Linked DNA regions of Macaca fascicularis. The protein of the gene in region 5 interacts with the protein of the main gene of each other region in a pairwise test. Links are inferred from orthologs where the notes say so. Each region holds a gene or a part of one and is shown on either strand. Other genes may lie near its edges. The genes, in order: MTMR9, IFT20, NMI, ZC2HC1C, EMILIN1 and BEX3.

Region 1 (4,146 bases), on a different chromosome or scaffold from region 5:
ATACGTATTTATTCCTGGACTTGCTTGATTGTCCATCTCCCCGGCCAGTACCTAAGCAGCTTGTCTTAGTCACCACCGCAGCCGCACAGCTAGACAGCACACATGGAAAACGGGTGGATGTGAAGATTTCTTGAAAGCAGCAATTGAACAAACTCTGATGTGATGCCTCCCCTATGCTCTTTCCACTACACCACACTGCTTCCCAGGAGAAAGATAAATGTGTGCACAGTTCGTCATTCTCTCCCAACAGATTCAAAGGTCCATGGCTCATCTGCTTCTTCTTCATGCACTACAAAGCCCAGCACCTTGTAAACGCAAGGTAAACAGGAGGAAAGGAATGAGCGAAAAGTAAACACAATAAAAGGTAAATAAGAAAGGAAAGGCAGTTGATGGTCACGGAGAGACTACTCATTTGTATTCAATGGCGTCACTGAACCATTCAGCGGTCAATCCTTCTTTTATTTCCTATGTGTCTATATGCCCAAGCCACAGTTAGAAGTTTCGAAGGAGATAAAAATGAATTCCAGTTGTGGAATTAACAGAAGAATCTGTGAAGGAGGTAGCGGTCGAAATGGTTAAACTGAATACTCATAGACGGGTAACAGGCTCATTGCCATGTGAACTCCTGAAAGACAAGAACTGTGATATATTTTATTCATCTTGGTGTCTTAAGTGCCTCACAAAATGTCCAGAACATAAAGGCATTTGGCAAATGTTTAACAAACTTGGGAGAGGCAAGGCATTCCAGCAGAAGGAAGAAGTCAATAAAATACACAGATGACGGAATACAGGACATATACCAGCACCAGTAAATGGTGAGGACTGGCTGGTAAAAAGGTTCATGAAAGGAAGTGCAAGAAGGGCTCATTGAAAGAAATGGCAAGAAATAAAGTGAGAAAGTAGGCTAGGGCTGGGACACAGAATGCCATGAATGACTGTGAGGGGTTTAGATTTTCAATGAGAGACCACTGAAGACTTTTTTTTTTTTTTTGAGATGGAGTTTTGCTCTTGTTGCAAAGGAAGGAGTGCAGTGGCGCGATCTCGGCTCACTGCAACCTCTGTCTCAAGGTTCAAGCGATTCTTCCACCGCAGCCTCCTGAGTAGCTGAGTAGCTGGGATTACAGGCGCCTGCCACCACGCCCGGTTAATTTTTTGTATTTTTAGCAGAGATGGGGTTTCAACATGTTGGTCAGGCTGGTCTCAAACTCCTGACCTCAGGTGATCCGCCCGCCTTGGCCTCCCAAAGTGCTGGGATTACAGGCGTGAGCCACTGCGCCGGGCCCACTGAAGACTTTATACAGCAAAAGGTGACTTGAGGAGACTAATACGAGCCCCCTGCTCAAATCAATCAATCTACCGCTGCTTCACCCAAACTTCCTGCAATTCTACCATTAGAAATTATTATTTTAGGCCGGGCACGGTGGCTCACGCCTGCAATCCCAGAACTGTGGGAGGGCAAGGCAGGAGGATTGCGAGGTCAGGAGTTCGAGACCAGCCTGGCCAATATGGTGAAACCCCATCTCTACTAAAAAATACAAAAATTAGCCGGGTGTACCGGTGGACACCTGTAATCCCAGCTACTCGGGATTTGCCACTGCACTCCAACATGGGCAACATAGTGAGATTGGCCACTGTACTCCAGCCTGGGCAACATAGTGAGATTCCGTCTCAAAAAAAAAAAGAAATTATTATTTTAAGGCATATCCTCTCTAGGAATCTTCCTAAAATCCAAATTATCCTGTGAGGCAATAGAAAACGTTGTCGTCATTCATTTCTACTTCCGTGTAAACTGGATGATCAGTTTGCCCTCTCCTGGCTAGAGAGAAGCCACTAAGGAGATGGAAATTTTGACTGCAGATTAAAGTATAACTTTTTGACTTCGAGGCACTGCCTTGGAAAGATAGTCTGGAGTACAAAAAGGAAAAAGAGGTTAATTGGTCCATGCCTTTCCTTGAGAGCCAACCCTGTTCTTTCAGCAAGCAGAACTGAGTAAAGATGAAGAGAAGACAACAGAACCTCCCCTAGTGAGAATGAAATTGATGACCCAGAAGGTAAGAAACATAATAAACTGAACATATTTCAGAAATTAAAAAATGGTTCTGAGGCATGTAGGCACTCATAACTTTATAATCAGTTGAATTTTCCTCAAAAATGGTAAACACTTGCCTAAGTCACATCCAATCACAACTTCATGAACTGTGATTGACAATACCGATTCAAGGAATACGATGGGGCAAGAAGAAGAAATTTATAAAGACAATGCCGAAAATCCACCCAAATGGTGTTACGAACCAGATCATCAGGATGATACCAGCCACACGATAACCCTGAGAACTCCATCCAGGTTTAATGGAAACCGGATCCTCCATCTGGACGGGTTTCTGCCAGGTAAATCCTGATTCTAGGCCACAGAGGGCTCATCCTGCCGGCCAGCTGGGCGGCAGGATGCGCGGAAAACGCCAGGAAGTGTTTCCCGGGGCGCCCACAGGGGATCCCCGGCTCCCTGCGGAGCTGGGGTGGGGCAGGCACTCACCGCTTGTCGATGGCGTCGATGTTTGAATGAAGGAGCCACAGCTCCTCCGTGTTGTCCTGCCGGGAGGACAGGATCAAGTGGTGGCCCGTCAGGCACAGGGTGCCCTCGACAGCCGGGTAGAAAGGCCGATGCAGCACCACATTGTCCACCCGCGGGGTCTTAATCAGCTCCGCAAACTCCATGCTCCCCCCGCGGCCGGAGCCAGGGAACCGAGCCCGGCAGGTGCGAGGCGGTTATCCCGCCGCAGGGAGAGGAGCGGAAACACCCGGCGCGGGGCTGGCCCTTGGGGCGGGGCGGGCCGGGCGGTGAGGCTGGGCCCGCCCCAGGCTGGGCGGGCGCGGCGAGGCCTGCAGCCGCCGGCACCAGCGGCAAGGAGACAGGCGCTGGGGCTGGGCTAGGCCCGGGCGCCTCTCCCGCACCGCCCCGTCTCCCAGGCCCAGGACTCGGCCACAGAGAACGCCTCTCCACAGGCCCAGGGACCGCCGCTGCCGCTGGGCTTCGTGTCCCGCGTGGGCACGCGGCGGGCAGTAGGACGAAGCCGCTTCAGGACCCACCTCCACGCCCTGGCCGCTAGGGACTCCTGGCGGAAGTGGCTGCTCGCAGCTGGAGCCCACAGCAACTCCGGGCGGAAGCAGCAGGTCTCCAAACTCGGAAGACGCGGAAGTCGCAGCCGGAAGTCGGTCCTCTCTAGGTCCTCTGGAAATGCCTCCGGAAACACAGCCAGACCAGAAGATTTGGGTTCCTACGAGAAAAAAAAAACTTGTCTTTACCTTCACGCCCTCCCGCTGCCCTTCTCACCCATCTACAAATATTCCTTATCAGAAGAGGCCCGTTAAGAGGGGACGATGGGAGGAGGTCCCTGTCTTGTCTCCCTCCGCTTGAGTAGTACCCCCTCCAGAAGCTCTTCAGAGCGTGGGGCTGCTGTAAATTGTGACAATTGTTATGCATTAGCCCTGAAGAGATGGCAAGTATGGGATGAGGCGGTGACTGTGACCTTAGGGAATCCTCCAGGGGTCAGGGAGGGACACAGGGCCACGCCACTGACTCCCCGTGAGGGCCGCGCCACGAAGTGTGACCTGGAGCAAGACAGGAATACCTGTGAGAGGAACCCAAATAGATGTAGATGCGATGCACAGAAGAGTAAGTCACTTGAGTTGATGGCGGCCACCCAGTCAATCTGCAGCAGAGCATGGACTTCGATCTGCACCTGTGAAACCCAGCGCATGGGTGCATTGGTCACCACTGCACAGCCTCAGCGTCAGACACCCACGTTGCGCCAAAAATGTATTCAAATAATTACTCCTTTGCGTGTTCCTTTCCCACCGCCCACTTGAAACTGACATTTTTATTCAAAAATAGGAAATAGAAGAGAAATATGTTTGAGTGCTGGTCTGCTGTGACTTCATTGACCTTTTAAATCCTCACCATCTAGTACCGAAGCACAGGACAAAATCTCACAGTATTCACGAAGTAAATTGCCACAACCTCATCAGCTCATCCAACACTTGTCCATGCTTTTGATTTTGCCCTTCTTAACATGTTCCCTTCTTAAAATAAAACACTTTTTAGAACTGTCGTAAGTGAGATAGGTAAATGCCTACCAACTTTCCTTG
Region 2 (4,110 bases), on a different chromosome or scaffold from region 5:
CGAGACCAGCCTGACCAACATGGAGAAACCCTGTCTCTACTAAAAATACAAAATTAGCCAGGCGTGGTGGCGCGTGCCTGTAATCCTAGCTACCCGGGAGGCTAAGGCAGGAGAATCACTTGAACCCTGGAGGCGGAGGTTGCAGTGAGCCAAGATCGCACCCTTGCACTCCAGCCTGGGCAACGAGAGGAAACTCCATCTCAAAAAAAAAAAATACAAAAAAGTAATCTGGGTGTGTTGGTGCACACCTGTAGTCCCAGCTACTTGGGAGGCTGAGGTGGGAGAATCTCTTGAACCTGAGAGGTGGAGGTTGCAGTGAGATTGCGCCACTGCACTCCAGCCTGGGTGACTCTGTCTCCAAAAAAAAAAAAAAAAAAGATTAAAGGAAATAAAGACTGGCGTAAGTTCAGTAGGTTAAGTGGACTAGAAGTTATTAAAATCTTTTTTTTTTTTTTTTTTTTTTGAGACGGAGTCTCGCTCTGTCGCCCAGGCTGGGGTGCAGTGGCTGGATCTCAGCTCACTGCAAGCTCCGCCTCCCAGGTTTACGCCATTCTCCTGCCTCAGCCTCCCGAGTAGCTGGGACTACAGGCGCCTGCCACCTCGCCCAGCTAGTTTTTTGTATTTTTTAGTAGAGACGGGGTTTCACCATGTTAGCCAGGATGGTCTCGATCTCCTGACCTCGTGATCCGCCCGTCTCGGCCTCCCAAAGTGCTGGGATTACAGGCTTGAGCCACCGCGCCCGGCCTTAAAATCTTAAATGAAAACTCACCCACCCACCCCTCTAAACAAATCAAGAGGGAAGAAAGATGAGAGGGTAGTAAACTAGGGTCCCAGGCCAAGACGTAGGCAGAAGACATGCTGATCTTACCTTCATCTTTTCATTTTCTGCTTCTTTTGCAAGTTGATCAACAAGCTCAATTAAACCACCAACTATTTTCTGAAACTGGCCAATTTCTTTCAGAAAAAGAACAAAAAATAAAATATTTCCTCAGTCTCATCACTGCCCTTCAGTAAGAGTGCTGAGGCAGTGCGAGGGCAGAGCTGACTGCCCCTTCTAATTTGTGTCAAAATAGTTTGGTGTGAGCCAGGCATGGTGGTGAGCACCTGTAGTCCCAGCTACTCAGGAGGCTGAGGTGGGAGGATCACTTGAACCCAGGAGTTAGAGGATGTGTGATCATGCCTGTGAACTGCCACTGCATTCCAGCCTGGGGAACATAGCGAGACCCTGTCACTTAAACACTTTGGTGCCTATTGGCCTGTCTCCTACCCTTGGTCTGAACCTAGAGAAGGGTGGCCAGCTGGACCAGGACATACCCGGACCTTGTGTCCCCACTGAGCCAACCAGCTGCTATGATCTCAGGCTATGAAAGCACTAGGCCCTTGCTGGGCTCATCCTCCAGACAGACCCCAACCTGCTTCCCCAGGAATGACAGGAAGCACTGTTGTTCACAAAAGGGCAGCCTCAGGACACAAGCGCTGCCTCTGGACTAGCTACGGGTATGACACCAGATTTCAATTAACAGTGGGGATGGGGGCTTCCCACTTGTAACCACAGAAAATAGAGAGCTCACAGCATTAAGTGCCTAATCTCCTGTTCACTTTCTCCAATGTCCTGGATGTGACGGAAACACAACTTACTGAGGGAAAACTAAGGCCCAGAGAGGTGTGTGCATGGCACATCAATCACAGAAGGTTAGTGACAGAACCCAAGCTACCTTTCACTAATCAAGCTCTCTCCACAACCTAGGAAGCCCCCAGAAAGCTCAGAAATCCCTTGCTCTAGCTAGATAGGGCTCTGTACTGAATGCATTGGGCTTACTTGGCTGCTGGGACAGGAGGCTTCCTGAAGATTTCTAGCCAAAAGATGACTTCAGTAAGTCTGTTGAGCTGCTTCTAGAAACTTCACTTATCACTTCTAACTCCAAATAACAGAGAACCTGCCACTAAGAAGACTTCCTCTAAAGAAATCAAATCAGGAGTACATAATTCTATTTCTCACCCCCAAGCCATGGTTATGTTCCCAGAAAGTTTAAGGTTTCTAAGAGCAAGAAATGAAAGATGGCATCTCTAAAAACACCCTCCCCATCCCAGTGTTTGGTTTGACTGGTGCTCTGCTGGGGACACATGAGAGCACGAGGGCAGGCAGAGAAGGGTGGCACATGGGAACTCACAGATGCCAGATTCGACCTCCAGGGAGCCAGCAGCTCCACTGTGGCAGGGCCAAGATGAGCCTGGGGTACAGTTGGAATGGCAGCTCAAAGCTGAGTGACACGGTATCTCCCCAATACTCACTGTCCACAAAGTCTTTGCACTCTTCCTTCAGCTCTATGGTCTGCTGGGTAACCTCTGGGTCCAACACCCGCAGCTTGTTCAGTTCATCAAAGTGCAGCCCTGCTTCACCCAGGATGTCCTTGGCCATGGCTGCAAAGAAACCAGCCCAATTCCTCATCACTTCCTAGCCACCCAATGAAATGCCTGCTGCCAAGCCAGCCCTGTTCCTGCCCTTGGACACCAATGCCAAAAACCCAGATGTTCCAAAGGCTCCCCATTCCCTCTGCCACCACCTCTCTGAGCCTCACCTGTTTCCCATCCAGACTTCCTAGAGGAGTTCTGCTCTGAAGGAGTGACAGTGGCAGTCAGGAGGAGGTGTGTCATAGGAGCAAGGGTCAGGAAAGAATAAAGTCCGCTTACTTGTCACAGGCATCGTTCATTCAACACACATTTCTTGAGTGCCTACTACATGCCAACACTGCTAGATGCTGGGGGTACAAAGATGAATGCAACACGGTGCCCGCCCTGAAGACACATAGTTCAGCTGGAGGAAGACAGACACGGAAACTGAAAAATCACACTGTGTTAAATGCTTGTTTAGAAATATCAGTAAAGAGCCAGAGGAGGATAGAGCCGTTAAAGAAGGAGTGACATCTGAACTAAGTTGTGAGCCATAAGTGTATTTACTTTATATATCACCAGTTATGTACCCAAAAGCACATGAGAAGGCTTCTCAAATACACATACTGGAACAACACACAAACCAAATAAAAGAAATCTGGGTGAATTAAAAATTATGGTTAAAAAATACAAAGTCAGGAGTAAGAATATTACTCAAAATGTATGCTTGCCTGAATTGGGAATCAAAGTTGGGTTATTCTCTTTCTAGCAGAAAACACAAAAAGGAATGAAGTATCAGCAAGAACGTATCAAGGCAGCAGGCCAGGGATAGGTATTCCAAGCAGAGAAAACAGCATGGACAAAGGCCTGAAGTCACTGAAAGGACCTACCCCGCCTAAGGATGAAAGGAAAAAGGATGGAGCTGAAAAGGTGAGCTGGAGCCAGACCAGGAAGACCCGTATGCCAAGCTAAGGAGTTACGATTTTTTCTGTAGGCAACAGAGAACTAACAAAGATATCTTCTCCCTTTCCAAGCCACCTTGCATTTCTGTTCCAAAGGATGCCTCAATTCTGGGAAGGAAATACTGAAAACTCACCCTCGTTCTGGCTCAAACACACACACACGCACACACACACACAAAATTAAAAATAGACATCATATGACCTGTTTAAAAAGGGAGGCAATGCTAGTTACATCTAGCAATTAGCTGCTATGCCAATTCTAAAACCCAGGTGCTCCAAAGTCTACCATCACTTGGACCTGCACCAGCCTCTTCCCTCTACCCTCACTGCCCCCAGCCTCAGCTGTTTCCCTCGTGGCTTCCTTAGAGAAGTCCTGTTCTGAATGGGGTGATTCTGGGGGTGGCTGTCTAGGGCAGGTGTGCCACAAGAGGAGCAATGGTTCGAAAATAATCAAGTCTCACTGTTTCCAGAACTTCTGGATCTTTTGTTGTTGTTGTTATTGTTGTTGTCGTTGTTGTTTTGAGAAGGAGTCTTACTCCATTGTCCAGGCTAGAGTGCAGTGGCATGATCTCGGCTCACTACAACCTCCACCTCCTGGGTTCAAGCAATTCTCCTGCCTCGGCCTCCTGAGTAGCTGGGATTATAGGCGCCTGACACCTTGCCCAGCTAATTTTTGTATTTTTAGTAGAGACGGGGTTTCACCATGTTGGCCATGGCTGGTCTTAAACTCCTGACCTCGTGATCCACCCACCTCAGC
Region 3 (3,960 bases), on a different chromosome or scaffold from region 5:
AAGATCAGCCTAGGAAACACAGTTAGATACCTGCCTGCAGCCCCCAAATTAAAAGTACAAAAAAATCTGGGTGCGGTCGTGAATTCCTGTAATCCCAGCTACTTGGGAGTGGAAGTGGGAGGACTGCTTTGAGCTCAGGAGTTGGAGACTGGGCAACAGAGCAAGACTTATCTCAAAAAAAAAAAAAAAAAAAAAAAAAGGAAAAAGAAATGTCACCACTTTAAACTGGTTCCCATCTTTTTGATATACAGAAAATTCGCTTTTGTTAATCTGTTAGTTTAGACAACTATATCAGTTATTATATGTGACTAGGAAGCATGATAACCTAGAATTTATGCCTTGAAATCGTTTTGATTCATTTTCTTTCCACATCTGTATTTATCAACAGGGGCAGCTGTGGGGTGGTTCTTTGTGTGGGATTAAGAGACACTGCAGTTCTTGAAATAAAGCAGATGTTTGAATTTTCAAAGGAAAAGTTCACACCTAGTGAAGGATTTATTTACAAGCTCCACAACAAAACAAGAGATTTTAAGAAAACTTTCAAGGGACACGGGTCATAGAAACCAACAGGAACACCACAGCTTTCCCAACTTCATGGCCCCGGGGATGTTACCAAAGACACAGAAACGCCGATCTTGTGCTGGCTGTAAAAATTTATAAACTAGTGCTACAATGACTAAGAAATTACAAGAGTTACAATCTGAAGAGCGATTCCTGCTTTGACTTTGTTTGGTTTCTATCCACTTTTCCTACATGCCTTGTAAAATACATGCAAAAACTGGTTTTAGAAAACATTCCCTAAAATTAGTGTGTACAGAAACTTCAGGGATACTTCTGCTTTTCTCCGCAAAACCACCCCTTTTTAAAAATCGAAAGTGAAATTAGTTCTAACTTTTTTTTTTCTGTTAGTGACTCATCATCATGGGAGACACCAGATTTAGTATTTGAGCAGTGGTTAAGTGCTAAAGAAAAATCGCCGTTAAAGCAGTTTTCTTTTTCACTTTTTCCTTTCGCAGGGACCTGAGCTGTTCCTGCGAGGCCCACCTCCTCAGAACTACACCCCAGTTCTTCCGAGGCGCTACTGCAGGAGGCAGTACCAGTTACGACAGCCCGGCCCTTCCCCTCCCAGTGCCTCCGGGGGTTCCGGCGTCCCGGGCGCTGCTGTTTTCCGGGAAGAGCGGGCGCGCTGGGCCTCGGCGAGCTGCGCTCGGCGGGCGGACGCGGGTGAGTGGGGAGTCCGTTTCCCGGCTGCCACTCCCGCCGCTGGCATTCCCGGGCTGGAGAGCGGGGGTGGAAAGGGAGGCGGGGGACCTCAGCGCCGACGGGAGTGGGACAGCGCCACGGTTGAGATCCTGCTCCCGGGAGCTTCCCGCAGGCGGGTTGCAGAGGCCACGCCGCCTTCGAGGGGGCGCACCTGCTCCTGGGCCCGCTGTGTAGTCTCTGGGCCGTCAGGGCTTCCAGCCCTGTCACTTGTTTGCTTTGCTTCATTCAGGAAATTGAAACATAAAGTTATTTGTGTTTCCTCGCTGTTTTCTCGAAGTTTCTCTAGAGATAGTTCTTCGGAAAATGGATTTCTTTTTTTTCTTTTTTTTTTTTTTGAGACGGAGTTTCACTCTTGTTGCCCAGGCTGGAGTGCAATGGCGCGATCTCAGCTCACAGCAACCTCCGCTTCCTCAGCTCAAGTGATTCTCCTGCCTCAGCCTCCCAAGTAGCTAGGATTGCAGGAAAATGGATTTCTTAAGAAAACGGTTCTTGGCAGGGGCAGTGTTGTGCGTTCATGGCTGGCATTTCAGAATAGGCAAGGTTTTTCTTGAAGGAGACATCCTAAGGAGAATACTATGTTTCCAGTCTGTACAACAGGCAGGCGCTCTATTGCCTTTCTTTCTTTTTGCTGCCGGGCATGCATATAGGAAGATTCGATTCTACACGGCCTGGCACCGCAGTGATATGACTATACTTAGGGAAATACGGTGATGGTGATTTGTATTAGTTTTTTTTTTTTTATTCGCTGCCATAACAAATTACATGGATTTAGTGGCTTAAACACATAGGAACGCGCGCGCGCACACATACATACACACACTCTCACACACACAATTTACTATCTTAGGATTCCGTAGCAGTCCTACCGAGGTCTCACCGGGTTAAAATCAAAGGCAGGGTTGCCTTCCTTTCTGGAAGCTCTTGGGGTGAATCCCCTTTCCATCTTCCGGAGGTCACCTACCTCATTTGGCTCAGTAGCCCTTCCTCCATCTGCAGGGCCAGCAACTTTGCACCTCTGAGAGTTCTGGGTTCACATCGCACTCTTGACTCTCTTCTGTCTTCCGCTTTCACTTTTAAGTATCTTCATGATTACAGTGGGCCCCCACAGGTAATCCAGGATTCTCTCCATATTTAAAAGCAAGCTGATTAGCAACCTTAATTCAATCTGCAGCCTTCATTCGCATTTGCAATGTAAACAAACGTAATCACAGATTCTTGGGATTAGGATGTGGACATCTTTGAGGGAGCCATTGTTTTGCCTACTACATGATTGCATAAAAGGAATGACCATACATCCCACTCATGCGTAGAGCAAAAGTATCCAGACGGTAAAGATGCCAAAAGCGTTCTTGGGGTGTTAGACAGTAGGCCATTTATGCTGAGAACCTTTATTACAGGCTCTTAGGAAGATTGGCATTGTCACAATAATAAAGATAAAAAGCAACTAAATAACATTGCAGTTTGTGTCTTCTGAAATGTAATGAGGACTTCATATGCACTTGACGTCCTGAGTCCAACAAATACTGAAGATCCCACATAATTATCTAAATTGAGTGTTTTCAGTGTGTAAGCTTATACTGAGAAAGTGCTCTGAAGGTCTGCAGGGAGGAGTAGACATGGTCCCAGCCCTCAACATCTTTACTGACGTGTCATGGAAAATGACACAGGTACACACATAATTAAAGTGCCACAAAAGAGACAAAGGAGGCGGAGTAACATCCTTTAGGGGAATCAGAAAAGGCTTTGGGAACTTGGGGAAAATTTGGAATGGACCTTGAAGAAGAGTAAGATTTCATTAGATGGAGATTAAGGTTAGGAGAGGAGGAAGGATGTGACAGTTTGAGGGACAGAGGAAAGAAAAGGAACTATGCACGTGTTCAGTGTGGTTAGGGAACTGGGTTGAGGAATTGACTAAATAAGACTGGAAAGTGAGTTGGAGTTAGAATGCAGCAGACCATGGCTGACCATTAGGAAGATTTTGCAGTTGATACAATAGCGATATATATGTATGCTCTGTGTGTGTGTGTATGTGTCAGAGATAGAGAGAGACGTGGTTTAAATATATATATGTATATATGTGTGTGTATATATGTGTGTGTGTATATATATATATCGTCTCAAACCATCTCAAACTTACAGAAAAGTTGCAGGTACAGTAAAACAACTTTTCCTTTTCCTAAATTATTTAAGAATAAATTTCCAATCTGGTGACCTATCATCTTTCATTATATAATTGAGTATATATTTCCTACAAAAAAGATGTGCTCCAACGTAACCACAATACCGTCATCAAAATCAGGAGTGTGGAGTGCTACCTTACTACAATTTAATAATCAGATCCAATGTGAATTTCACCAGTTGTCCTGATAATGTCTTGGATAGTGTAGGGGTCAAGGGAAAACTTCCTCTTTGCTCTCTGAAGGGCAAAGGCAGATTAAATAGGAGAAATGGCATACACATTTATTAATGTGCACAGGGGAAAAAATCACATAGTGATTGTACTGCACAATGGGGTACAGATGGTTATATTCCCTACTTTTTAGGGGAAAGGGAGATGGGGAATCGTGGATGATTATAGGGGGTTAGTAAATGATTTCTAAGGGAATTCAAGGGAATCGAAGAACACACAATGGCCTTGTACAAAGCCTGTTGGGCTTGCAGAGCAGACAGTGGTTGTAACACGTATCTGTCCAGGTT
Region 4 (3,929 bases), on a different chromosome or scaffold from region 5:
TGAGCCACCGCGCCGGCCAACACTGAGCTAATCTTAACAGACTACATAGTTAAAGGAATGCTCACAGATTCTAGTCTTGGGAGGTGGCAGAATACATTGCAAAGAGTGAGGCGTTCTCTCCAGGTGACAAAAGCCTGCATTTTTTTTCTTTCGATTTTTTGTGTCTTTTGAATTTTCTACAGTAAACTTTTATTACTTTTATAATCCAAAGGACACAAATTCTTAGTCTAGATTTTTTAGTCATTCTAACCAAGATTTATATGCTGACTCTGCCACTTAAAGCTGTTTGTGACCTCAAGCAAGTTACTTAGCCTGTCCAAGTCTTGATTTTTGAACTGATAAAATGAGAGATAAATGCGAGGATCACATGCAAAGCTCCCATCACAATGCTGGCATACAGTAGTAATCAAGAAATGTTAATTCTAGACGTCAATTCTTCCTACATGACACATGAATTTTCCCTAAAGAAAACTGATGATGACAAAACAGACCCCTACAATGATCCCCACACCAAGTCACATCCATAAGGCTCTTGTTACCTTGGCTGAAGCTGGCCCCTTCCAGTTCAAGTATTGCTCTAGTTCTGTGCCCTTAGCCCGGGCCCTGGAGGAGTCAAACACTTTCCTCTTGGAACCCTGCATCCTGCTGCAGATGTTGGAGTGTCTCTCCAGCCTGAACAAGAGGAATTTTCGCCCACAGTGGCTGCACTCACCCAGCTGTGGCTCTTCAGTGGAGCCGCTGGAACCTGAGGAGTCTGGTGCCATGGACAGGCTGGAATTTCTGGCAGATCCCTGCAAAGCACCGCCTGGTGTTTCTGAAGGCGGGGAGAACTTCTCCATCGACGGCTCTGAGACTCGGTCTCGAATTTTGTTATTGCTTGCTACCAGCCTTTCCCTTTTGAGTCTCTGGATTCTATAATCAGAGAGCTGGAATGGACTCGAATTTTGTTGAGACCGTTCCCAAGTTTCATCCTCTCTCCTGTCTCTACTAAATTCTTCCTCAAAATCAAATTCTGGGGAGAAGACAGCTTTGTGCGTGGTGTTGCTGTTATTACCTTTAACTCTGCTCCTGGGGAATATAATTTTCTGTAGCTCTCTGTTTTCATTTTCCTTGGCCTGTTCCTTTTGCGTCTGGATCCTTCTGAGTTCCTCCTCTGTCTTCTTCAGCTTTCCTCTCAGGAGAATCTGCTTTCTTCGGATTTCCTCCTCTAAGCTCTCCCCTGCAGCTTCTAGTCTTTGGATCTGCACCCACTCCATCCTGTCCAAGTTTGCCAAGGCCTTCTCCGCCTGCATGGCAGCAAGAACAGGATCAACCACAGAAAAGTTGACCTGGTTCCTCACATCAAAGTTCCTGGATGAAAACTCTCTCAGTTCAGGGGGCCTTGGGTAGACATTCTGGTCCCCATCAGTGCCAGACTCACCTGTACTGCACGACTTCCTGTGGACCACGGGTTTCAGTGGGTACGCCCGGTCCACTCCAACTCGTTTCTTTGTAAAGGGGATAAAGTCCTGGTTATTGGCTTTGGGATACCAGGATTGAGGGCCTGATGAGTAAAACAAACCATTTCCTTGGCCCTGGAAATCACTTCCTGCATCTTGGTGGCTGATTCCAGTACAGTGGGGATAGGAGTAGCTCCGGGCTTTTGTGTTCCATTTGGGGTGAGTGTGGACTTTATCCAGAGTCAACTCTTTGTTGCTCAAAAGCTGCTTCTGGAAATTGTTCCTCAGGTGCCCCTTCAAGGACTGCTGGGAAGAGTCACTTTGTTCGTAAGAGTCTTGCTTGGCTGAGTGGGGCCCTGGAGCTTCTGTTGTATTATGTGGAAGCATAACGCCCACAGGCAGATGTGATGCCAACCGCTGGAGACCAGCCATTCAGGGCCTGGACTGATGCCTACGGGAGATTTAAACCAGATACATGCGAAGAGTTTGTCTGAGGTTCACTCTCGTCTGCTAAAGCAAACTATTTCAACATTTGCCCTGCCCACATTTCCTTAAACTTTTCTGGGGACAGTGGTGCTGGATCTGCCAAAGCTTCCCTTCAAAAACCATTTGGTGAGTGATTACTATGCACAAGACACTGTGTTAGGCCCTGAGGGTAGAGAAACGGAGGTGCTACAGGTGTTCCTGCCACCTAGCTCTCCTCTCCTCCAGCACCAGCCTCTGCCACGCACAGTATACTCTACAGTAAGTGGAAAGAGCATCGGATTGAAAGTCAGGTTTTAGGCCTGTAACAGGACAAGCGACTTCTCCCTTGCTGGCCCCCGTTTCTTCACCTGTAAACTGAAGGGTTCCGTCCGAGTCCATCCTCACCATTTTACAGGTGAGCAAGCTGTGGCCCAGAGGTAGTGACTGGCACAAAGAGCTCTCAGGGCTTCCCTCCTGCTGGAACCGTGCTTGATTCAAAAGAGCACAGAGGCTGCTAGGGCCTGGAGCAGGTGCCTGGCTGTCAAACCCTCATCCCAGGAGTCCCCGTGGCGCAGACGGTAAAAGTTTTGTAACCTGAGCGTTGAGGGCCACCTGACCTGGCTGCAGCCGGTTTTAGATCCTTAAGGCTGAAGTCACGTTCTGTCCCGAAGGGTCAACTGGGGCGCCCCCACTACGGACTCCGCCTCTGGGGACAAGTCCTCTCTCTCTCCTGCCCTTCGGGCCCTTAGGAGGTGCTGACCCTCTGTCTCCCCGCCCTTCTGCGTACCTGAGGCCCTCGGGCACCGCTCCTGCTCAGGGGAAACCCCAGGGCCTAGTTTCCCAGACCCGACCTCCCCCTCAACCGACGGCCGCGCAGGCGCTCTCAGCTAGCTTCTGTTATTCCCGGTGCCTGGAGACCGAGTTACTGGCGGGCCAAGCTCCGCCCCTCGCTGCGAACTCCTTGGGGAGGCGTGCGCAGGCGCAGTGCACCAGCGACCCGGGGCGACCGGGGGTGGGGGGTGCGGTCAGCCCGACCGTCACTTGACCCAGTCAGTGTCCGGCCAACTCTGCAGCCGGGTACAGCCCTGCCCTTGGGGAGCCGAGGAAGGGCGGGAGAGGCTTTTCTGGGGCTCCATCAAAGAAGAACTTGTACTTTCCTGAGAACGATGCTCCCAGACCTTGGGGTGTGCCCTTCACTGGCAAAGGGCGGAGGCCCTGGCTGTGCCTCCGCGTGCTTCCGCCGCAGGGTGCAGGCGACCGCCTGCCTGGTGGGAGCGGGGCTGCTGCTGACCTTTCTCGGCGCGCTTGGCTGCGCTGGGCGGGCCCCAGGTATGGCTGCACGTGCGCGCTCCCTGCTTGTCGTCGCCAAGTCTTTGGAACTTGCTGCCAACGTTTTTGCTACGCAGTATCTTTCCGGGGTAATTTTTGTGGCCAATCTAATTATTTTGATATTATAATGTTTTACTCTCACGTGGTAACTCTAGCCGTCTGTACTTAGGGCGTAGGAATGACTCAGCCAAGTGTAATGATAATAAAGAACTACCAGATCGAAAATAATCAGTATAACCTGGTTTCAACAGTAAATGATACTCTGTAACTTGTTGACATCAAAAGAAAGTTTATTTTTTTTTCTTCGCTTCAGTTCATCTGTGTAGGACGTTGGGAACAGGCAGTTCGCTTTTTCCCTGTAACTACTCAATTCATGCACTTGGAAAATAATGTAGACAAGCAGTCATCAGTGTTAATACTTCAACATGTCATATTACAGCTGTTACCTGTTACAAAGAAATTCCTTGGTGGACCCTCCAGGTCAGTCCTTCTTTTTTTTTCTTTTCTTTTTCTTTTCTTTTCTTTTTTTTTTAATTCCTCGTTTTCATCCCTTGTTGCCTGCACCACCTCTACATATATGCAGCTCCAGATGTTTCCCACTCTACTCAGGGTCCCAATTATCAACTCCCGCAGCTTCCCTCAGCAGGATGTACCGGCTTTCTTTCTCTCTCTCTCTCCTCTTCCTTCTCTCCCTTT
Region 5 (4,195 bases):
TGCAATGCATGCTAGGATTTGTAGTCTCAACTGTCTGTCCCCATGGACCAAGCTTCTCAAAGGAATGCCCCCTTCTCCTGCAGCTGTTTGAAGGATCTTGGCCACATGTGGGCGTGTGCGAGCACCTTCTCTTTCTCAGCCTTCTTTTTCTGTCTCTCCATCTTTTGCATGCTCGCTGTCTCACACACAAACACCAAGAGAGACACACACACCCACACACACATACGCACGCGCGTGCGCGCGCACACATAAACACACACACACACACACACACGGGCAGGGAATCTCTGCGATCTCACTAACTCCCTTCTGCCCCTCTCTTCTTTCTGGCATAGAGCATGGGAGATTCCCCCAGCAGCCTGGCCCCGCATTTCCCATTGCATCGGATCACCATCTGGCACTTGCCGCCCTCGAAGCAGCTCCCACACTCACCTTCTCCCCCCAGTCCACTGAGGGGGCTGCCCGCACTGGAGCCAGAGAGGTTGGGACGGGCAGGCCGGGGCAGGGGCCGTGGTGTGGAAGATGCAGGCCCCAGCGCTGGAGCAGGACTCTCAGCACAGTCATCGCCCCCGTAACCCTGACAGCACCTCCACTCCATGTCGGTCACTGTCTTGTAGGCCACACGGTAGCGAGGGCGGAGGAAGCGGCGGTACCTGGCAGAGGCAGAAGGAGGCCTCTTTATTCCTCCCTGTATTGTTAGTGACCCTGGTCCCTGTCCCAAGGGGTGGGCAGCTGCTGGTGGGCATGGCCTGTCCCTCAGGCTGGGTCCCTCTTACTGTCCAACATGTGGCTTTGCTCAGCTGACAGCTGTCAGCTTTTTGGTCAAGGGCTAAATCCCTGCTCTTCCTTCCCTTGCCCTGCGCTGAAACCTTGAACTCCTCTGCTTGAGCCTGAGCCATCCCAGAGAAGGCATCTGGGGCTGGCGCGTGAGGCAGGTTTGCCCTTAGTCTCCCACCAGCCAAACTGTTGTCTCAGTATCTCCTCAAAATGGCTGCGACCCTAGACCCTGTCCTGCCCTTGCTCCCTGCTTTGTACAGACTCCCTGAGTCAGCCACCCACCATCTGCCCTCACCCAGTTCCCACCAAGGGCCCATTCCCCGGCCCTGGGACTCACATGATGCTTTGGGGACACTGGGGTTGGCCCCAGGCACAGGGCTGGTACTTGACATATGTCTCCACTCCATCCTCAAGGACACAGCTCACTGTCCGGGTCACCACATAGGCACACCAGTTCCTGTAGGTACAACCCCCTCTGGGTCCAAGGACCAAAGATACACGTCCTGGAGGAGGGCCCAGGGGCTACCAGAGGGGCTGAGGAAGGCTCCAAAGATGCAGGGCCCTTGGGGATCAGTGAGAGCAAGGACTTTGGCAGGGCCACCCTCCCTATCCCCCACGCTTTCCTGTGTAGCAGGGGCAGATAAAGACTTTTCAAGATGGGGAGTGGTGCAGAATGGTAAACCACAACCACAGAGCAGTCAGCCCTCATGGCGGTGAGGCCCTGGGGAGCCTCTGAATGTACACGATCACGTGTGTCCCTTTCTGGGCCTGTCTCAGTCCCCAGTTTGGCATGCCGTGTGCGCACAGCCAGGCTGGGCCCTGTGGGTGATCTGAACACTGGCTTCCACCCCACCCCTCCGGGAGAGGATGGGCAGGCCAGCTCGGGGTTAAGTAGAGAATAAGCCATTGATGAGCCTGCCCCTCTTGCAGTTCTATACTCCTGGCCCCATTCATGCCGGCCTCTGATCTGTGTCTGGCTGAAGGGCTGGAGGGAACAGAGCGGGAGTGGTGTCAGAATTATGGATTACTAGATGGGGCCAAGGGAGCCCTAGAAGGGGACAAAAGGTCTCCCTGAGGCTCTGGGGCTGGGATACAGAGGGCAGCTTGCAGGAAGGCCTGGCCTGCTCCCCTCAGGGCAGCTTCCCTGGGTATATAACTGCAGGGCCCCATGGGGGCATGTGGGAGCAGACCCCCTAGGTGACCCAGGGAGCATATATGTTCAGGGGGTCCTGGAAAAGGTGCTGTGGGAAGGTGGGCATGTGAGGAGCCACCTGATGGATGGGCTTCTCACTCCCCCTCTGCCCTGCATTAGGGGACACAGCCCAGGGCAGAGAGCCAGGCGGAGGTGGCATTCTGAGCCCCTTTTCACCACCCAAGCCTCGGGCTGGGACCCAGACTCTTACCTGTGGCGGCTGGCTGGCCGGGGGGCGCTCTGGGCCTGGGGCCCCCCGGGGCTGAGGGCCCCACCGGACCCCGTGTAGAGGCTGTAACCTCGAGGAGGGTAGCTGGCGGCCCCCGCAGCTGCGGTCAGCAGGCAGCAGAGGTAGCAGCTCCAGAGGGTGCGGGGGGCCATGGTGGGGCGCTCCACAGTGGCCCTCAGAGACTCATCCCGCCCAGCCACTGGCTCCTCTGCTGGCCCCAGGGATGCTGCTGCTCCACAGGACAGCGCGAGCCCGTCCTGTCCGTCCCGGCTTCCTGCCGGCAGCCCCTGTCCACACGTCTTCTCCTTGGCTGCCTGGCCTGACCCCTCTCCCCTCCTCTTTCCTCCTCAGCTCCTGTCCGTCCCTGCTCGGTTCCTTCCGCTCTTCTCTTCACTTCTGAGGGGGTTTGTTTTCTGTGCCCCCTCTGGCCTCTGGTCCCTGCCCCTCTCAGGAGCTGCGGCTCAGAAGTTGCGTCCTGGGCTTCCGCCCCCTCGTCCCAGCTGGCCCTCTTCTGGTCTCCCTGTCCTCTTTCCCTGATGACCGGATCCTGGGGGTGACAGGGCTTTGCCCCTGTGGCTGTTGGGAGGCACGAGAGTGGCCGTGGGGCGGGCCCTGGCCTCCTCCTCCCTGCTGGCTTCCCTCCCTTCCCCCCTGTCTGGCTGGCGGTCCTGCCTCCCCCTTCCTCCCCCCACCTCTCCAACCATCGTGCGCCACATCTGCTTCTTGTTAACTCCGGGAAAGAGGGAAAAAAAAGGAAAAACAGAAATGTGGAGTTGCCGCCGGGCTTGAGGCCAGCCTCTCAGATGGGCCACATGGAGCCAGGGCCAAAGCTGGGAAGGAGGCCCAGGGCTGGTCACTCCGACGGGGAACGGGAGCCAGAGTCGCAGCTCCCCTGGGGCTGGAGCAGGCCTCCCCTGGGGGAGAGGGCCCCAGAGAGGGAGCCCAGAGGGGAGGGCAGGATGGAAGGACTGGACAAGGGAGAATGAACTTGGAGAGCTCAGCAGGACTTCACTCACCATCTAGTCCAGCAGTCTCCTTTTAGAGATGTGAAAATTGAGGTCAGAGTGGGAGAGTAACTTGTCCAAGGTAACACAGCAAATCAGTGGTAAGGCTGAGAACACACACTAAATACCAGGTCAGTGACTTGGGAGAAAGGAGGAGAGGAGAATGTGCTAGTGGGCCAGGAAGGAAAAGGAGTCCTTACTCCACTGAGGCAGATGGGAAATCCACAGACGACAGAAGAGGAAGAAAGGGCCGGGTGTGGTGGCTTACGCCTGTAATTCCAGCACTTTGGGAGGCCAAGGCGGGCAGATCACAAGGTCAGGAGTTCAAGACCAGACTGACCAACACGGTGAAACCCTGTCTCTACTAAAAATACAAAAATTAGTCGGGCGTGGTGGCGTGCGCCTGTAATCCCAGCTACTCAGGAGGCTGAGGCAGGAGAATCGCTTGAACCCAGGAGGAGGAGGTTGCAGTGAGCCAAGATCGCGCCACTGCACTCCAGCCTAGGCAACAGAGCGAGACTCTGTCTCAAAAAAAAAAAAAAAAAAAAAAAAAGAAGAAGAGGAAGAAAGGCACCTAGCAATGGGGAGCAGGCTTCTGTCAAGCAGGAGAGGGCACGTGGGCAGGAAGACGAAGAACCTTTCTTAAAGGGATAAATGAAAATGGGTCCTGGGCTTGTTTTGGTGACGGTCAGGCCATAACTGGGTGGAGGTGGGGTGAGGTGAATCGGGACTGACCTCTAGAGCAGCAGAGGCAGTCAGTCCCTAGTCTGGAGGTGAGTCTGATAGCTCTCAGTGACAGGCAAAGGGCCGTCAGCCTGACCTGAAAGTTCCACCTGCGCCATCTTGATCTAAAAGCTTGGTCCCTGTCACCACCTGACCCTCAGTGCTTGACCAGGGTCTGCAGGTGGTGGGATGCTTTGGAGAAAGAAACGGAAGCACAAGACAGAAAGGAGACAGGAGAATGCTGTGTGCCAGGCACTGCGGAGGTGCCCA
Region 6 (3,219 bases), on a different chromosome or scaffold from region 5:
GTTGAGCCAGTATTGTTATGTATCTGCACTACATTCATAATCTCATTGAAAAATAATTTTCATTGCTTCTCAAACTCCAGAAAATAAAAGGAAAAAATGTCACATATCATTTTTTTTTTTTTTTTGACTGAGTCATGCTCTGTCGCCCAGGCTGGAGTGCAGCGACGTGATCTCGGCTCACTGCAACCTCTGCCTTCTGGGTTCAAGCCATTCTCCTGCCTCGGCCTCCCGAGTAGCTGGGACTACAGGCGTGTGCCACCATGACCGGCTAATTTTTTGTATTTTTTTTTTCAGTAGAGACAGGGTTTCTCCGTGTTAGCCAGGATGGTCTCGATCTGCTGACCTCGTGATCCGCCTACCTCAGCCTCCCAAACTGCTGGGATTACTTATCACACAGAAATGTGCCCCAATTAACACTCTAGTGTATTTAATCTCAGATTTTTTTTAGTTCATCTGTTATATGTAAGTATACATTTTTAATGAGACAATAAATGTATAGATTGCTTTTTAAATTGCTTTATTAGCTTTAAATTTTTCCATGCAAATGGGTGAAACTACTGCTGACAGAAACTTAGACTGAGTGCAAAGGCAATTTCCAAATAGAAGCTGGCAACACAAGACCCACTTGACACATGGAAATAACAGGGTTCACAGCAAACGGATCAGTAAAGGCATATTAGGAAAATGCAAGGAAAAAGAAAACAGCGGGAATCACAGTATTAATCTCATGATAAATGGCAGGAGTCAAGGCATAAGGCAAAATTCATCATGATGGTCATGGTGATTAGAGAGCTCCCCCATAAGGATACGCAGACAATTCCTCAACTGCAGCTCCCTAAGTTTTCTCCTGATTTCTCTCATCTCCTCCATGAATATTTCCATATCATCTCCATCTCCACCCATCCCATCATTGATCTGCCTATTGGGTATGGCCCATCGAAAATTAGGGGCAAGTCGGCGCGCCTGTCCCCGTCGATTTCCTGCAGGCTGGTGGCCTTCACCTCCTCCCAAAGGGCGGTCTTCCTCTCCATTCTGCATAGGCTGCTCCATCTCTTCGTTTTCCTGGTGAATATTTGCCATGATGAGATTTTTTTTCTGGTTGTTTTTCTTTGAACACAAGTAAGACAAAGGCAAGGAGAGAGACTGAATGCTTGGTGCACTGACCAGCAGGATTCAGAACCCTGATATCAAAGGATTTTTTCATTTCATTTTTTCCCAAGTTGGAAGTTCCGTGCGTCCTCTAGGGGGCCTCCAATTAGAGCCCCTCCCTCCAGCTTTCTCCCCTTACCTCCCTTCCCCCAAACCCACCATTTTTCCTTTCCCAGGATTCTTTCCCAGAGCTTCGCAGGCACCAAAATGGAGGACCGGTATAGGAGTGGGGGATGGGGTGGAGGGGGTTGGGGTCTCAGACTGGGCTTTCCTCACGTTCCGACCCCCGCCCCACCACCGTCCCTCGAACCGACCTGGGCCTATCCTTGCAGTTTCCTCCTCCTCCGGATTCTCGCTGCTAGGTGCGCCGCGGGGACACTTAGCCTCGCAGACCTGCAGTCGGGCCGGGGTGGGGGGAGTGGGGGCTGCTGCAGCGACACGCTAGAGAGGACCAGCCGCCGCCGGCCCTTTCCCTGCCCTGGGCCCGGGCTCCCCTCGCGCCAGCGCCCCGCGTCTCCCACCCCCCGCTCCCACCCCACCCTCGGCCGCCCCGGCCCCCGCGGTGTTCCCCGTTTTCCTGCAGGGACTCGGGGGTGGTTTTCCATCGCTCTTGGTGGCTCTGCCGCCCCTGGAAACCCAGCCGCCCCTGCTTCCCCACCCTTGGGGGCCTCTATGTTCCCAAGCATGTTGGAGTGTGGAGAAAACTGGCGGGGACCCCTGCGCTGTTCTGCGCCCGTTGCCGGGGTCGGTCAGCCGCTGCTGGCATGGCCGGGGCGCGCGGGCCCCGGGGCCCTTACCTGCTCCGCTTTTTCCCGGGCCGGATGCCAGCCCGCCGAGCTCAGGGCAGCGGGGAGCTGGTAGACAGACGCGAGTGACGACTGCACCGAAGGCTGCGTCGCTCTGCAGCTCTGGGTCACGTGAGGGCCGCGCGTCACCACCGAGCTCGCCCCCCAACTTGGGCGGCCAGTGCAGCAGGATCCCCCTTCCCCCCCACCGCCATATGCACGCGCAAAAAACAGCCTCCCTACTCCCGTCTGCGTGAAGTGCCCCAGAGCGCACAGCCCTGTCACTCTTCTCGGTCCTCTCCAATCTGAGGGCCCACAAGTGGCATCACTGCTCTGCGGTTGGAGTTTGCCCTCCTCTGGTTACCAGGGAGGGTCTGCATCATCCACCACCGCCCCCTCTCACTTCAGGCCTTGGTTTTGGCCTTTTCTGCTTTCTCTCCTCTTCTACCTGGCAACATGCTTTGCGCTGCACTCCCACTCCTGCCCCTTGCGTGTGCACAGCCATCAATGCCCACGTAGCCCCTGAAGTCCTACCATTCTAGAAAATTTAGAGTGATGGCTAAGGTGGTGAGGCAGGAGGGCACTTGTCAGAAAGAGGGGCAAGGAAGTGGAGTGGGCTGTATATATTTCTTTTTATTTCCTTAAAAAATCTGCATGCTTCCGAAAATTATAAATTATAAGTTTTTAATTTTGAAAGAAATGCTGGCCAGGTGCGGTGGCGTACCTGTAATCCCAGCACTTTGGGAGGCCGAGGCGGGCGGATCACTTGAGGCCAGTAGTGCGAGACCAGCCTGGCCAACATGGTGAGACCCCGTCTCTACTGAAAATACAAAAATTAGCTGGGCGTGGTGGTGGGCGCCTGTAATCCCAGCTACTCGGGAGGCTGAGGCAGGAGAATCGCTTGAACCCGAGAGGCGGAGGTTGCAGTGAGCCGGGATCACACCACTCTAGCCTGGGCAACAGTGCGAGAACCTGTCAAAAAAAAAACGAAAAGAAAAAAAAAAAAGGAAATGCTTTATCCTGCAGAATGAAATCTCTGTCATTGTTTATGTTGACTTGTGCCACACGAAATATTTTCTCTGGGCTCCACACAACATCAAACCATTACTTTTGATACATACTAGCTCGTTTAAAATTTTATTTTTGGCCGGGCGTGGTGGCTCACGCTTGTAATCCAGCACTTTGGGAGGCCAAGGCGGGCGGATCACGAGGTGAGGAGATCGAGACCATCCTGGCTAACATGGTGAAACCCCATCTCTACTAAAAATACAAAAAAAATAGCCGG

The links.
Region 1: the proteins of EMILIN1 (region 5) and MTMR9 interact in binary tests that used the Homo sapiens proteins (3 or more experiments, as listed by UniProt). The link is inferred for Macaca fascicularis from reciprocal best matches to the Homo sapiens genes EMILIN1 and MTMR9.
Region 2: the proteins of EMILIN1 (region 5) and IFT20 interact in binary tests that used the Homo sapiens proteins (3 or more experiments, as listed by UniProt). The two-hybrid records come from large-scale screens. The link is inferred for Macaca fascicularis from reciprocal best matches to the Homo sapiens genes EMILIN1 and IFT20.
Region 3: the proteins of EMILIN1 (region 5) and NMI interact in binary tests that used the Homo sapiens proteins (3 or more experiments, as listed by UniProt). The two-hybrid records come from large-scale screens. The link is inferred for Macaca fascicularis from reciprocal best matches to the Homo sapiens genes EMILIN1 and NMI.
Region 4: the proteins of EMILIN1 (region 5) and ZC2HC1C interact in binary tests that used the Homo sapiens proteins (3 or more experiments, as listed by UniProt). The two-hybrid records come from large-scale screens. The link is inferred for Macaca fascicularis from reciprocal best matches to the Homo sapiens genes EMILIN1 and ZC2HC1C.
Region 6: the proteins of EMILIN1 (region 5) and BEX3 interact in binary tests that used the Homo sapiens proteins (3 or more experiments, as listed by UniProt). The two-hybrid records come from large-scale screens. The link is inferred for Macaca fascicularis from reciprocal best matches to the Homo sapiens genes EMILIN1 and BEX3.

What each region holds. Positions count from the first base shown.
Region 1 is NC_088382.1:9,627,640-9,631,785, forward strand, and holds the start of MTMR9 (myotubularin-related protein 9), read right to left. Parts: upstream 2,801-4,146; 5' UTR 2,716-2,800; coding exon 2,534-2,715; intron 1-2,533. UniProt on the Homo sapiens protein: Acts as an adapter for myotubularin-related phosphatases. Increases lipid phosphatase MTMR6 catalytic activity, specifically towards phosphatidylinositol 3,5-bisphosphate and MTMR6 binding affinity for phosphorylated phosphatidylinositols.
Region 2 is NC_088390.1:33,791,542-33,795,651, forward strand, and holds the start of IFT20 (intraflagellar transport protein 20 homolog), read right to left. Parts: upstream 2,801-4,110; 5' UTR 2,705-2,800; coding exon of another isoform or gene 2,692-2,704; 5' UTR 2,656-2,691; coding exon 2,580-2,655; intron 2,422-2,579; coding exon 2,293-2,421; intron 955-2,292; coding exon 869-954; intron 1-868. UniProt on the Homo sapiens protein: Part of intraflagellar transport (IFT) particles involved in ciliary process assembly. May play a role in the trafficking of ciliary membrane proteins from the Golgi complex to the cilium.
Region 3 is NC_088386.1:46,844,477-46,848,436, reverse strand, and holds the start of NMI (N-myc-interactor), read left to right. Parts: upstream 1-1,160; 5' UTR 1,161-1,224; intron 1,225-3,960. UniProt on the Homo sapiens protein: Acts as a signaling pathway regulator involved in innate immune system response.
Region 4 is NC_088381.1:143,018,294-143,022,222, reverse strand, and holds the start of ZC2HC1C (zinc finger C2HC domain-containing protein 1C), read right to left. Parts: upstream 2,801-3,929; 5' UTR 1,872-2,800; coding exon 540-1,871; intron 1-539. Other genes in the region: ACYP1 (acylphosphatase-1), read left to right, coding at 3,071-3,322, 3,547-3,713.
Region 5 is NC_088387.1:95,156,457-95,160,651, forward strand, and holds the start of EMILIN1 (EMILIN-1), read right to left. Parts: upstream 2,801-4,195; 5' UTR 2,351-2,800; coding exon 2,181-2,350; intron 1,235-2,180; coding exon 1,115-1,234; intron 654-1,114; coding exon 433-653; intron 1-432. UniProt on the Homo sapiens protein: Involved in elastic and collagen fibers formation. It is required for EFEMP2 deposition into the extracellular matrix, and collagen network assembly and cross-linking via protein-lysine 6-oxidase/LOX activity.
Region 6 is NC_088395.1:109,756,187-109,759,405, reverse strand, and holds BEX3 (protein BEX3), read right to left. Parts: upstream 2,023-3,219; 5' UTR 1,947-2,022; intron 1,543-1,946; exon of another isoform or gene 1,464-1,542; intron 1,108-1,463; 5' UTR 1,081-1,107; coding exon 745-1,080; 3' UTR 501-744; downstream 1-500. UniProt on the Homo sapiens protein: May be a signaling adapter molecule involved in NGFR/p75NTR-mediated apoptosis induced by NGF. Plays a role in zinc-triggered neuronal death.